2 linked regions of the Arabidopsis thaliana genome follow. The protein of the gene in region 2 purifies or fractionates together with the protein of the main gene of each other region. This does not show direct contact. Each region holds a gene or a part of one and is shown on either strand. Other genes may lie near its edges.

Region 1 (7,024 bases), on a different chromosome or scaffold from region 2:
TAGGTAGAATCATTGACAAATACAGAAGAGGTTGAGCTACGTTCTAAGATTGAAGCTCTTGGTTTAGAAGTCACTAAAGTGCCATCAAAGTCTGCTCAACACCTCAATGAGGTCTGTATCCTGTGTTCACTCATATATCTGGTACACATTGTAATGTAAATCTGAGGCTTTGTGTGTGATTGTTTGTGTTTTCAGGTGGAGATAGCTAAGGAATTGGACAAGTTATCAGCAAAGTTAGATGATGTGGATGAGATGATATCATCAGCTATAGCTTCTGATCCACAGGTTCAGACGCTTCTTAGCGGCACAGCTGATGTTTGGATGCCGGTTATCACTGCCGGCGCCGAAGAGAGACTCAACTTCACAGCCTCTCTTGCTGATGATGATGACCTTTCTAACAAGGAGACTACTACCGACAATACCAGCAGCTCTTAATCCCATTTTCTTTTTGATAAACTCATGTCGAAGTTTTCTATTTTGCAGTCTTGTTTCTTTTATGTATATCAAAACCAAGATAAGCTTTAATTCATGAGTGATATTGATGTTTGATTTTTACGCAAACTGAATACAACTGTTTATTTATTATCACGAGTTTCCCGGAAATGCAAATTTGCACCAAGCATGTGTTTCTCAGGAACAATTTCTACATGAACAAATGTTTCTTCTGTCAATAGAAGGTAAAAACAAAAAAAGCTATCCAGTGTGGAAGAGAATGACTTTTGTTGAAACACGAGAGAGTGCGACAACTCAGGACTCGGTGGTGACTTAAGCAGATGAAGCTTTCTTACAATGGGCTTCAAGCCAGTCCATGGTAACACTCTTTGGCCTCTCAAGTGCAAGTCCAAGAGCTCGGTCCCATATAAGCTGTGAATTAAACACAAATGAGAATGGAGAGCATATGAGTTCTGTTTTAAATGTTATGTAGTAACAAAGGCGTAATGTGTAAATATATATATGTTACCTGAGAGCAGATGCCAAGACTCCTTGAAACACCAAAGAGCACGGTGTAGTACCTATAAAACGCACAGATATTATATTTGAGTGCTATCCTAAGGCTCAATGATACTTGAAGGAGGTGTCTACTTCTTACCTTGCTTCGGTTAGACCATAGTGGTTCAGCAAGACCCCACTGTGAGCATCAACATTTGGCCACGGGTTCTTCACCTGTAACAAGCCATCATCGGATTCGCAAGTAAATAAAAAATTGATTCGCAAGAGATTCATAAGCCCCTAGCATGTAGGTAAGGTGTTGTGGAGTTGTTGGTGGAATATTGAAGGATCACCATGGTAAACGAAGGATAGAGATACTACCTTTCCAAGCTCAGTGAGAACAGGAGGCACAACTTCATAAAGCTTTGACACCTACAGAGTTGGAAGGATTTTGTTAGCTACTGAACATTGATAGAATTTTGAGAACCGAACAGAAAAGAGAAAAGAGAAAGAAAAAAAGTACCAGCTGGAAAAGAGGGTCGTCAGGTAGATGCTTCAAGGCAAATTCTCTTTGGCATACATATCTTGGATCAGTATTGCGCAGAACACCGTGACCATATCCCGGAATAACCTAGAGACAAAACAAGACTCGTCAATAGATCATCATTAGACTATCCTTGTAACATTACATCCACAAGGTAAACTAGGATAGGGAAAAACAGGATCCAAAGCTCTTATGGCAGTATTACTTACTAGGAGCAGTTAGAGCAACTGACCAAACTATGAGGTCGTAAATAAGAGGACCCATAACAGTATCACACAATAAATTGAAATATTAGCCTATTATGATGACTAGTAGACAAGATGTTAATTCATTTTCGCATGCTCCATCAGTCTTGTTGGCTGGCTTCAAAAGTGGGATTCAGGTACAAGACCAGAAAGTAAAGAATGTCAAGGCAGAGGAATTTCCTGTTTTTACCTTGCCACTGTTTAATGTTTTCCAAACATATTCTTTCAACTGTTCTTTTGATATATCTTCTCCACATTCCTCTACGACTGATTTGATCCAAAGCAAAACTTCCTGTTGAAACAATAATAAAAAAAGACTAAGAATTTGTTTTCTCCAATTTATGGTTGTATCATCAAACTATCACAACCTACCTAGATAAAATACAAAAAGCCACTTACGAAGCTCTATTGTAGATTGAAGATTTAAGACTTATTCAAGATATAGACAAGGGAGGATACCTGATTAGCCAAACCATGGAGTGGCCCAGCTAAACCATTTAATGCAGCTGCAAATGACAGATATGGGTCTGAAAGTGCACTACCAACCTACATGAACAAGAATTTTTAGCAAAAGAACCATTAGAAACTTCAGGTAGGTCAATCCTTTAAAATTGACACATGGAGAGTATATACATACCAGGTGACCAGTGTGAGCACTAACATTTCCACCTTCATGATCACTAGAGCAAAAAATAGTAGAAAAGCAAAATGTTATACAAAGGTCTATTTAAAGTCTTAAAAAGAACAAACAAATTTACAAGATAATTAAGCTTATTTAAGGAGACATGCATGGGTGACGAAAATTAATACAGACCTGTGGATGGTGATGTAAAGCCTCATGAGCTCTTTCACCTTTTCATCATCAAATCCCAACATGTGGGAAAAATTTGCACCATAATCCAAAGATTTATCTGAGGGAATGGAATCACCATTCTTATACATCCTGCAATGATGCATGGAAAAGGTCAACAGTCAATACAAAGCAAAAACAAGAGATGGCAAATTTTCCAATAAAAAAAAAATCATTGCCGAAAATCCAGAAGCTACAAGAAACATGAAAAAGAGTACAAAAAGAGTCTTCACTAACCTTCGATAAACATATGCAGCTACAACAGGAACACGAGCAATCAGGTTGAGGCAATCCTCATATGTTGGCTCCCAGAACCTGGAAGAAAAAATCTTTGTTATGATGCCAGCTAATATGAAACGCTATCATGAACTAAATCAGAACCCCAAAAGCATACTTTGACTTATGAATTCCATTCTCATATGCCTTTTGAAACTCACTTTGCACCTGGATATTAGGTAAAGAAAATTATCATTCTGCTGAAAATTGTTTACTTATAGCCAAAAAAAACAATAAGTTTCCAACGCTTATCACAAGAAGAACAGAAACAACAATACGAGTTTAGAGAACCACACCTGGAGGGCCATAACACCGCTAGCAAATTGAGTCATTGGATGAGCTGTGGAAGGCAGAGCATCGATGGCATTGTACACATAATCTGTATAAAAATTGGATACAAGTTAAGAATGAATGAAAGTATAACACAAAACCCACAAATTTATTTCATTTCTGTTAAGCAATTTCTTGTAAGCATTGATGTCAAACAAGTTTGAATGAGCCAATAAACAGACTCCTTTATTTGCAACAGCCAGAGCGAAAAAGGTAATATCCAAACCTGGCACAGCAGCACGGTTCGCCAAGTCTTTCGACAGTGCTTCAACTTGCTCTTTGCTAGGTACCTATACGAAAAAGGGTAAAAAAGGATATCATAAGATAATCTATTGAGGAAAACTAATCGACTGGACATATCCAGAACCAACTTATAATAATGTACAGAAGAGCCACACCTTTCCAGTTAAGAGAAGCCACAAAAGACCCTCCGGTAATGGTTCAGCTCCAGACTGGGCAGTAGGTAATACTTTCTGGCACTCAGGAATCGACAATCCCCTAAAGCGAATACCCTGAAATAATGATAAGATAATTGCATCAACAGCCTTAGAACAGGAAGGAGGAGCATTTGATATATTCTATATCTAGGATCTAACCAAGCTATTGTAACTATATACAGAGAGTTATACAGTACCTCTTCCGGGTCAAGCAATGAGGTTTCCCAAAGCAATCCAGTCATCCCTCTCATTCCACCAATAACCTTTATTTCAAAGGGGATTATGATGAGTTATGCAATGGAAGGTGAAAATCATATAAACAAACCAAAAACGTGAAAATCATGATTGTTTCTACCATATCAACAGTGATGTTTCCCAGTTGGACCTTCCCATGTTCTGACTTCAGTTTCTTCAGACGGTCCTGAAATTGGAAAATTCTTGTGAGAAAAGAGGAAACTAGAAAAGCAAAGAGATTCACTACAACTAGCCTGCCTTCTTAACTTAACAATCTCAGCTAACATAACAAATAATACACACATTCAATGAAAAAAAAAAGTCAACAACACAAATTTTCATTTAAAGCAAACAGAGTCTAATCTAACCTGCTGTTCCGGAATTAACTCTTGCAGCTGCGACTTCAGGTCCTGCATTGCCACCATTTAAACAAAATGAACAAAGACCCCACAAGCAGCAGATCCCAAACCAATATTAAACTTACATATGATCATGATCATGAAAACTACATGATCACGATCACACACGAAAGTACGAAGCAACGGAGATGATTTACCAGGTCGGTAGAGCTCTGCATCTGAATCCATCTGACAGAATTGCTGAGTGAAGATTGTTGGCCCTGCTTACATAGATTCGATCACCAATCAATCGATTAGCATGAACCAGCGAGATCAAACGAGAACAAACACAAAACTGGAAACAAAATTTTCAAATACTTACGACGCGAGACCTCAGCCTAGTAAAGGCCGATACGCTGCGGAAAAACACCATTCTCCAAAACTCAAAACCTGTGACAGACAGTATCCACCCAATTCTCAAAACAAATCGATCCGTGAAAAAACTCAAGCAATCAACACTCACCAAAATCAGAAACAAACAAAAAAAGTTTTATCGCCGAATCAAATAATTCAACAAAACTCAGAGATTCGATCAGCGGAATTCACCGGCGAATTCAGATTCCAGAAGAAGAGAAAAACAGGACTAGATTCTCCGAAAATTATGGAAGACCAAAAGGAAATGAGAAACACTATGAAGAAGCGAAGAAACATACCAGAGATTCGAGAGCTTCACGGAGATCGAGAAAAAAAAAAGCGATTGTTGAAAAAAATACTAAAAGCTGCGTCTGCGTGTGATGTACAAAATCAATCGGCGAAAGGTGAGCAAATGACATTTGTATATAGCTGGAGCAGGTTTATTACTAAATTCCAATTTTGACCTTCGAGTACTTTGAGAAGGCAAACCAAACTAAACCGGTATTGGAGAAAATAACCTTTAGGCGTATTATTCCGGTTTTATGAATCTCAAAAACAATTTCGGTGTACCGGTGTGGTTATTTTCGGCAATTGTTGATAATCATCATTTATTTCCTTTGCCTTATTTACGGTATTGTTGATAATCATCATTTATTTTTGGTTTAAGAAATCATACTAATATTTATGTGAGCTTTTCAAGCAGCCGGAACGTTTCCAAATCTAGAAAAGTCAGGTTTGAAATTGTCCTTTACAATGTTTTCATCCAATATTATGCAACCAAAACCGATTTAGACTAAAACAAATAATCCCAATGCCTGAAAAAGTAGACTAATTAATAAGTATAACATGTGCAGAACCTTACAAAATAAGATAAAATAAATGTTGACGTTCGAGAACTTTGAGAAGGTAAACCAAACTAAACCAAAACACAGAAGCAAGGGAGTAAACCGTAATCATATACCTTTTCGTTCTTTTGGAAACCAGACCGAATAATTTGGCTTTATATGAAAAGGTCAACGGACACTAAAATCTCAAAACAATTTTGGTGTACCGTTACGGCTATATTCGGTTCGGATCAATTTTCTTTGCATTTTGTTGATAGGTTATATCATTTTGTTTTACTTTATTTTGATAAAAGGGTTAATATTACTCACTGTTGAAAATGATATATTATACACGTACATCAAATATGAAAACACGTTATTTATTTTAGTTGAAGTACTACATGTATAATAAATATCATTTTCAACATTTGTAACAAAAGATTAGTAAACAATAATAATAAAAAAAATAATTTAGCTTGAGCCAGAATATTCTTGTTAACTTACAGTTTAATTTAATTAGTGTAACTGTACTTTAACCGAATAACCGTTATGTAAGTATCGATATTCAATATACACAATCAATCAGAGTATCTATATCGAAAACAAGTCGATCCTTGTTCTAATTCCATACAAACTTTTTCCCCAAAATTAAAGTACAGCAATCATCACATTTATCTGCACACCAAAGAATTAATACACATCCAATAATAGCACATCAATGAAGTTACATAATAAAACTAGGGCTTTTTTGACCGACCACATCTTAATTAGATACAGCCACTTCTCCTAGAAGGGCTGCACGTAGATTAAACTCTCTTCATCACAACTCTCAACCTTGGCAAAGTCAGTCCCGCCAAAAGTTTATGTCTCTCATCATACCCATTTGTTATATCTATATACAACTTCTATGCCTTTTTTCTCCCACAAAATATGACCTTATCGTTGCGATTAGATCTCATCTCACCAAATGCGATTTGCAGAATCAATAAGATTGAAAACCCTAGAAATTAATCTGTTATTAATTAAGACGAATTATGAGCCTTTGTATCGAAGTTGGTGTTGTTGTTGTTGTTGTTGTTGTTGTTGTTGTTGTTGTTGTTGTTGTTGTTGAAGATGAAACCTTCGACTTGTGAAGAAGAAGAGGATCTCATGGGAAACGAAGAGAAGTAATCTTCTCCGACATCTTGAATTAAACCTTCTAGATCAAAGTACGTGTTTGTGTTCGAAGTACTCTGATCACCTGATCCCCACTCTTCTTTCACCTGGTGGTTTCCTCCGTTTGCTAGTAAACCGGTGAAACCCGAAAGCCTGTTGACCGGCTGATGATCATCGCAAACCGGTTCTTGGGGAGTCGTAATTCTTGATTTGGCTCTCTTTTTACCGGTTTTGGCTTCTCCCGGTGCCGGTTTCCCGGTTAGACTCTGGACGAGTGAACGAAAGTTCTTGACGTCGGTCTTGATGACCTCCGGTGCAAATATATGGATTATGCGAATCTTGGGTTTGATCTTGGATATTACTTGTGAATTCCTGTTCATGGAAACCCTAGAACTCGAACCTTCATGAAAACTTTGATATTGAGTAATCTCCATTGAAGAAACTATA
Region 2 (4,928 bases):
ATATAGCAAAGCTGTTGGAAGAAAAAATACACCGGGATGACCAATTCAAAGAGCTGGAAGCCAATGTGCGTTATCTTGAAGATGAGAGAAGAAAGGTGAACAATGAGAAAATAGAAGAGGAGGAAAAGCTGAAGAGCGAAATCGAGGTGCTGACACTGGAAAAGGTAGAGAAAGGGAGATGCATAGAGACGTTAAGCAGAAAGGTGAGTGAGCTAGAGTCGGAGATAAGTCGACTTGGAAGTGAAATAAAAGCGAGAGACGATAGGACTATGGAGATGGAGAAGGAGGTGGAGAAGCAGAGGAGGGAACTAGAAGAAGTAGCAGAAGAGAAGAGGGAAGTGATAAGACAGCTCTGTTTTTCACTAGACTACTCCAGAGACGAATACAAGAGACTACGCATAGCCTTTTCAGGGCATCCACCAACAAGACCATCATCCATTCTTGCTTCTTAATTCTTGTGTACAGTATATACTCTTTGTAACTTTGTTGGTGATACTTTCACATATAGGGAGCTGTTTTGAGATTGGTTTGTGGAAAAGAAAAAGCTCATAAGATTTGTGTTTGATATTAGCTATGCATTATCTAGTTTGAGTTCTGAAACTGGAATAAAGCATAGAAACGTTTCAAGTGTTTACAAATACTACTGTATATGACTTTTGGAGCATTGCTCAAGAAAAATCACATACAGATGCATGTAAATAAGAAATAAGAGTTTCATTTTCTTATTCTGAACAATAATCATAAGTAATGTGGCTGTGCTCTGTACAGCTAACAACCCGGAAGAGAATGCTTACTTGAGATGTTCAACGTCCTGCAAAAATCAAACTTCCCCAGGAAGCATAGTATCTACCGGACCAAGATCACAGTAGGCAATGCCCTGAAACACACATTCATAAAGCAACCAAGGTTAGTTTCTATATAAATTGGCTTTGTCTGAATAGACAAGAAAGATACGTACCTCTCCAGTGAGGTGTGCAACACATCTCTTCTCAGCCAACAGTTCCGCTTCCGACTGCAATATTTTCATGTCTCAGTTAAACTTCTAGTATTTAGATACAAAACCTGAAAAAGATTAATCTCTAAGAAGGCTATACCTTGGCGATTCGTTGGCGAAGGTAGTCATCAATTTCTACATCCTTGACAAGTTCATAATCTCCATCTCCCTGTAAGCAACACACAATTTTGAGACTTACCTCTAGAGAAAGGTTTTAAGTATAAGGATAGAACATACCTTCGACCGGCATGGCATACTGAAGACAAGGCCCTCTTCAATACCATAAGGATTTCCATCCGTGTACACCTAAATTTACATTAACACAACCCTGTTAAAACTTGAACCAATCTATCTTATTGTTATCCAAATGAGTGTAAAAGAAGATGTACCCCAGTCGAAAACCAATCACCCTCAGGAGTAGGAGTTACAAGAGACTTTATAGCATCAACAATGGAAACAGCAGTAGAAGCAGCAGAAGATCGACCCCATTTCTGAATTAATAACCCACCTCTCTGTAAAACAAAACGCAAACTTACTCAGCAAAACATTATATCTCATTGCAGAAATCATTTCATTATCAGAGGAATCGCCATCTTACCTTCTGCACACTCTCAGTGAATCCCTCTTCTAACCATTTGTGATCTGTAATAACCTCCTTCACAGGCAGGCCATTAATTCTGGCATTTAAGAAGTCTGGCACCTAATTTTCCTCTAAAAGATTAGAGAAACATCCCAAGATAAATGTAGAGAATAGATGACACTAGAGTAAGATAAGGCAAACCTGAGTCGTGGAGTGATTTCCCCATATGGTCATATTAGACACTTTGTCATAGAAAACACCGGCTTTAAGAGCAAGCTACAAAATGGAAATTGTCAATCATATGTATGCAAATATATTGCATACAATCACATATAGGTGTGAAATCTAGTACCTGGCATTTGGCACGATTTTCGTCTAACCTCGTGAGGGCATGGAAGTTCTTTGCAGGAATGTTGGGAGCATTTTTAAGACAAATCAAGGCACTGAAAGAACACAAAATGAGGTAAAGTATACTTCCAATGTTTGTCACTGATTACGATATGAAGAGGGTTGAATTAAGGAATGTAGCTTACTTGGTGTTGCAAGGGTTTCCCACTACAAGAACCTTGACGTTAGGAGAGGCAGCTTTGTTCAGAGCTTTGCCCTGCTCAGCAAAGATTTGGCCATTGATGTCCAACAAGTCAGCACGTTCCATTCCAGGGCCTCGAGGTTTTGCTCCAATCAGAATAGCCCACTCCACATCTTGGAACACTTCATTTGGATCTGTTCCTATATCAACTTCTCTCAACAATGGGAACAATGAATCCTCCAGTTCCATTGCAACACCTTCAAGAGCTTGAATTGATCTCTCTGATCCTAGCAGTTTCAATGCAATGGGTTGATCTGGACCAAATACTTCCCCTGAAGCAAGCTACACACCCGGAAAACCAAAGATACATAAAATAAGACCAATTATTGGTAACCTTATCCTATAAAACAGTAACTTAAAGGATTAACTTACTTTGAAGAGAAGATGGTTAGAAATCATTCCTGCAGCACCTGAAACTGCAATATTAATTAACTTCTTCCATGATCTTGTCTCTTCTTCCTGGCAAACACACACATAATACTATTATATCCATGTAAAGCAGAGGATTATCTCAATTCTCAAGTCTCAAAGATAAGATTCTTTTATAGAAAAATAGTAAGAGGGAATAGTAAGATACAGCTTTAAGATCATAGGTGAGGCAGAACACTCCATAACACTCTTTCTTCGTCTTCACCAATCCATTTTCTTGCACAGCAACAGGAGCTTGGCTACTTTTATCATCAATTCACAAAAGCATCTAAGATCAGATAAAGTTGATTTATTTAAGAGAGAAGAAACGATTAGGAGCTTAAAGAGACTTACTTTTGAGAAACGGAGCAAGAGATTTTGGAGTTGGGAGTTGTTGTGTGGAGAGGTGGAAGAAGAAGATGGCGAAAGTGGTTTGAAAGGTGCAATTTTGAAGAGAGACGAAGCCGAGACGAAGAGTTGAGAAAAGGCGACGTCGTTTTGGGGGTTGAGAGCTCTGCCATGGCCATTATCGCACAGACACAAACTGTGAAAGTGAGATTTCAGAACTGGAACTATGGAGAGAGAGCGCGCCAAGCGACAGAGTAGTAAGAAAGAGGATTGGGGAATCTATGGATAAGGCTCAGCTCTTGACACTTGTCACTCTTTTAGCATCCTCACCGTTTATCTTCTTTTGACTTTTAGGCCCAGTTAAGGCCCAATAACAGAATATACCTGAAACCGTTCGAATTTGATCACTGATCGGAGATTTTCGTCTTCGCCGGCGACATTGCATCCGCTGACCAGAGAATTAAAAAAGTTGCGACTTTGATCGCGAAAGTTTCAATAATGGAGGTCATTGATCAATGGGTTGCTGAATTTTTCCTCCTTCGACAACACAATCCTAGGGCTTCCCCTATTAATCTGATTTCGGCGCTAAAATTAGGAGATTCCTCCGACTGCATAAAGCTCAAGATATCTTCCGTCTTGCGTGACATCTCCAATTCATTGATCCGAGGTACGATTGATGAGGGAATGCTCGATCTTCTCGAGATTCTTGAGAAGCTTCTCTTGCAGCAACATTCGCTACTCATGGATTCTCACAAGTCTGCTTATTGCTGGACGGCTACTGAGTGTACGCTTAGATTTATGTGGCCAATGTTTGCTTCGGATGGTTTGTTCACCGATGCGCTTGAGAGGATATGGACGAAGAGGATTGGGATTTTGAAGGAGAGTGGTAGCGATTTGGTGACTTGTGACTTGTTGAAATGGGAGAGTGATTTGAAGAAGGCCCTTGGAGATCCTGAGCTCTATCAGCGAATTCGTGAGACTAACATCAGGTACACTGCCATTTCCTTTCTCACTCAGCTTCTCAAAGAACAGTGGGCATTACTTGGGAGTTCCTCTCTTGAATCAGTAGCTCAAAGAAGGTTTCTTAAGCGCAAGGCTGTGAACGTAGAGGGTGATGTTGTTGACAACAGAGGGGATCAAAGTGATGTTGATGAAAGCACGAGACGTTTTGGGAGTGATACTATTGATATCGCCAACGAGGCGCGTGGTGAAAGGGAGGACGGGAATGGGATTGGTAGAGACAACGCTAATGATGGTGAAGGAATGGAATGTCTGGAGAATGATGGGATTGATAATGTGAATGCAGCAGACGAGGAGCACACAGTGAGTGCACAAGATCAGGAACATGAGCCAAGTCTTGATAAGGGAGACGAAATGGCTGCTCGAGAGCTGAAGGAATATTTAGTAGAGATTCAAGGACACATCGACCCTTCCACTAGGCAAGGGGAAGAACCTAACAGTGCAATTGATCACTCAGTAGATGTCACTCCTCCGCCTACTCGGGTGAATAGGACTGGAACAGGCTGTCAAGACCATAACGAAGCATCGGTGAGTGTTAGTCAATTTTCCCTCAAGATGCTTTCTAAAAATCTTGTTCTTTGGTTCATGAATTTGTGGTTTAATTGTGAAAACAGGATAATGTAAATGAGAAAGGTTCGGATAGTCAGGAAACATGGTCTAGCAGAGTTCGGCCTCGTCGACCAACCCCTGTAACTCTGAGTGTATCTCCATTAAAGAAAGGCGGATTGGCGAAACCACATGTCAGGAGACCAAAGAAATTCTGGAAGCCAGAAGAAGTGGAAGCTCTGAGGGAAGGAGTAAAAGAGTATGCAAACACTCTTTGCCTAGTCCCGTACTCTATTATCAATATTCAATAGTGATACATCTTGGACCTCATTAAGATTATACCACTGGCTCATTTTGTTGTTGTTGTTGTGCAGGTATGGTAAATCATGGAAAGATATAAAGAATGGAAACCCTACAGTATTTGCGGAGAGGACAGAGGTGAA

Evidence for each region.
Region 1: the proteins of AT5G58330 (region 2) and ATCS fractionate together in Arabidopsis thaliana (co-fractionation; one large-scale study listed by BioGRID). This does not show direct contact.

Annotation. Positions count from the first base shown.
Region 1 is NC_003071.7:18,314,266-18,321,289, reverse strand, and holds ATCS (Citrate synthase family protein), read right to left. Parts: upstream 5,013-7,024; 5' UTR 4,898-5,012; intron 4,871-4,897; exon of another isoform or gene 4,708-4,870; intron 4,635-4,707; 5' UTR 4,618-4,634; coding exon 4,567-4,617; intron 4,469-4,566; coding exon 4,403-4,468; intron 4,257-4,402; coding exon 4,215-4,256; intron 4,034-4,214; coding exon 3,968-4,033; intron 3,876-3,967; coding exon 3,810-3,875; intron 3,688-3,809; coding exon 3,574-3,687; intron 3,466-3,573; coding exon 3,402-3,465; intron 3,225-3,401; coding exon 3,142-3,224; intron 3,014-3,141; coding exon 2,964-3,013; intron 2,885-2,963; coding exon 2,807-2,884; intron 2,663-2,806; coding exon 2,534-2,662; intron 2,400-2,533; coding exon 2,357-2,399; intron 2,266-2,356; coding exon 2,179-2,265; intron 2,012-2,178; coding exon 1,910-2,011; intron 1,562-1,909; coding exon 1,454-1,561; intron 1,363-1,453; coding exon 1,312-1,362; intron 1,165-1,311; coding exon 1,091-1,164; intron 1,014-1,090; and 5 more. Other genes in the region: AT2G44360 (ecotropic viral integration site protein), read left to right, coding at 4-111, 196-435; AT2G44340 (VQ motif-containing protein), read right to left, coding at 6,445-7,011.
Region 2 is NC_003076.8:23,579,190-23,584,117, forward strand, and holds AT5G58330 (lactate/malate dehydrogenase family protein), read right to left. Parts: upstream 3,207-4,928; 5' UTR 3,099-3,206; coding exon 2,926-3,098; exon of another isoform or gene 2,922-2,925; intron 2,835-2,921; coding exon 2,741-2,834; intron 2,623-2,740; coding exon 2,536-2,622; intron 2,446-2,535; coding exon 2,108-2,445; intron 2,018-2,107; coding exon 1,927-2,017; intron 1,851-1,926; coding exon 1,776-1,850; intron 1,695-1,775; coding exon 1,593-1,694; intron 1,507-1,592; coding exon 1,384-1,506; intron 1,301-1,383; coding exon 1,232-1,300; intron 1,164-1,231; coding exon 1,095-1,163; intron 1,013-1,094; coding exon 959-1,012; intron 878-958; coding exon 821-877; 3' UTR 533-820; downstream 1-532. Other genes in the region: NET4A (Kinase interacting (KIP1-like) family protein), read left to right, coding at 1-452; AT5G58340 (myb-like HTH transcriptional regulator family protein), read left to right, coding at 3,418-4,467, 4,554-4,744, 4,860-4,923.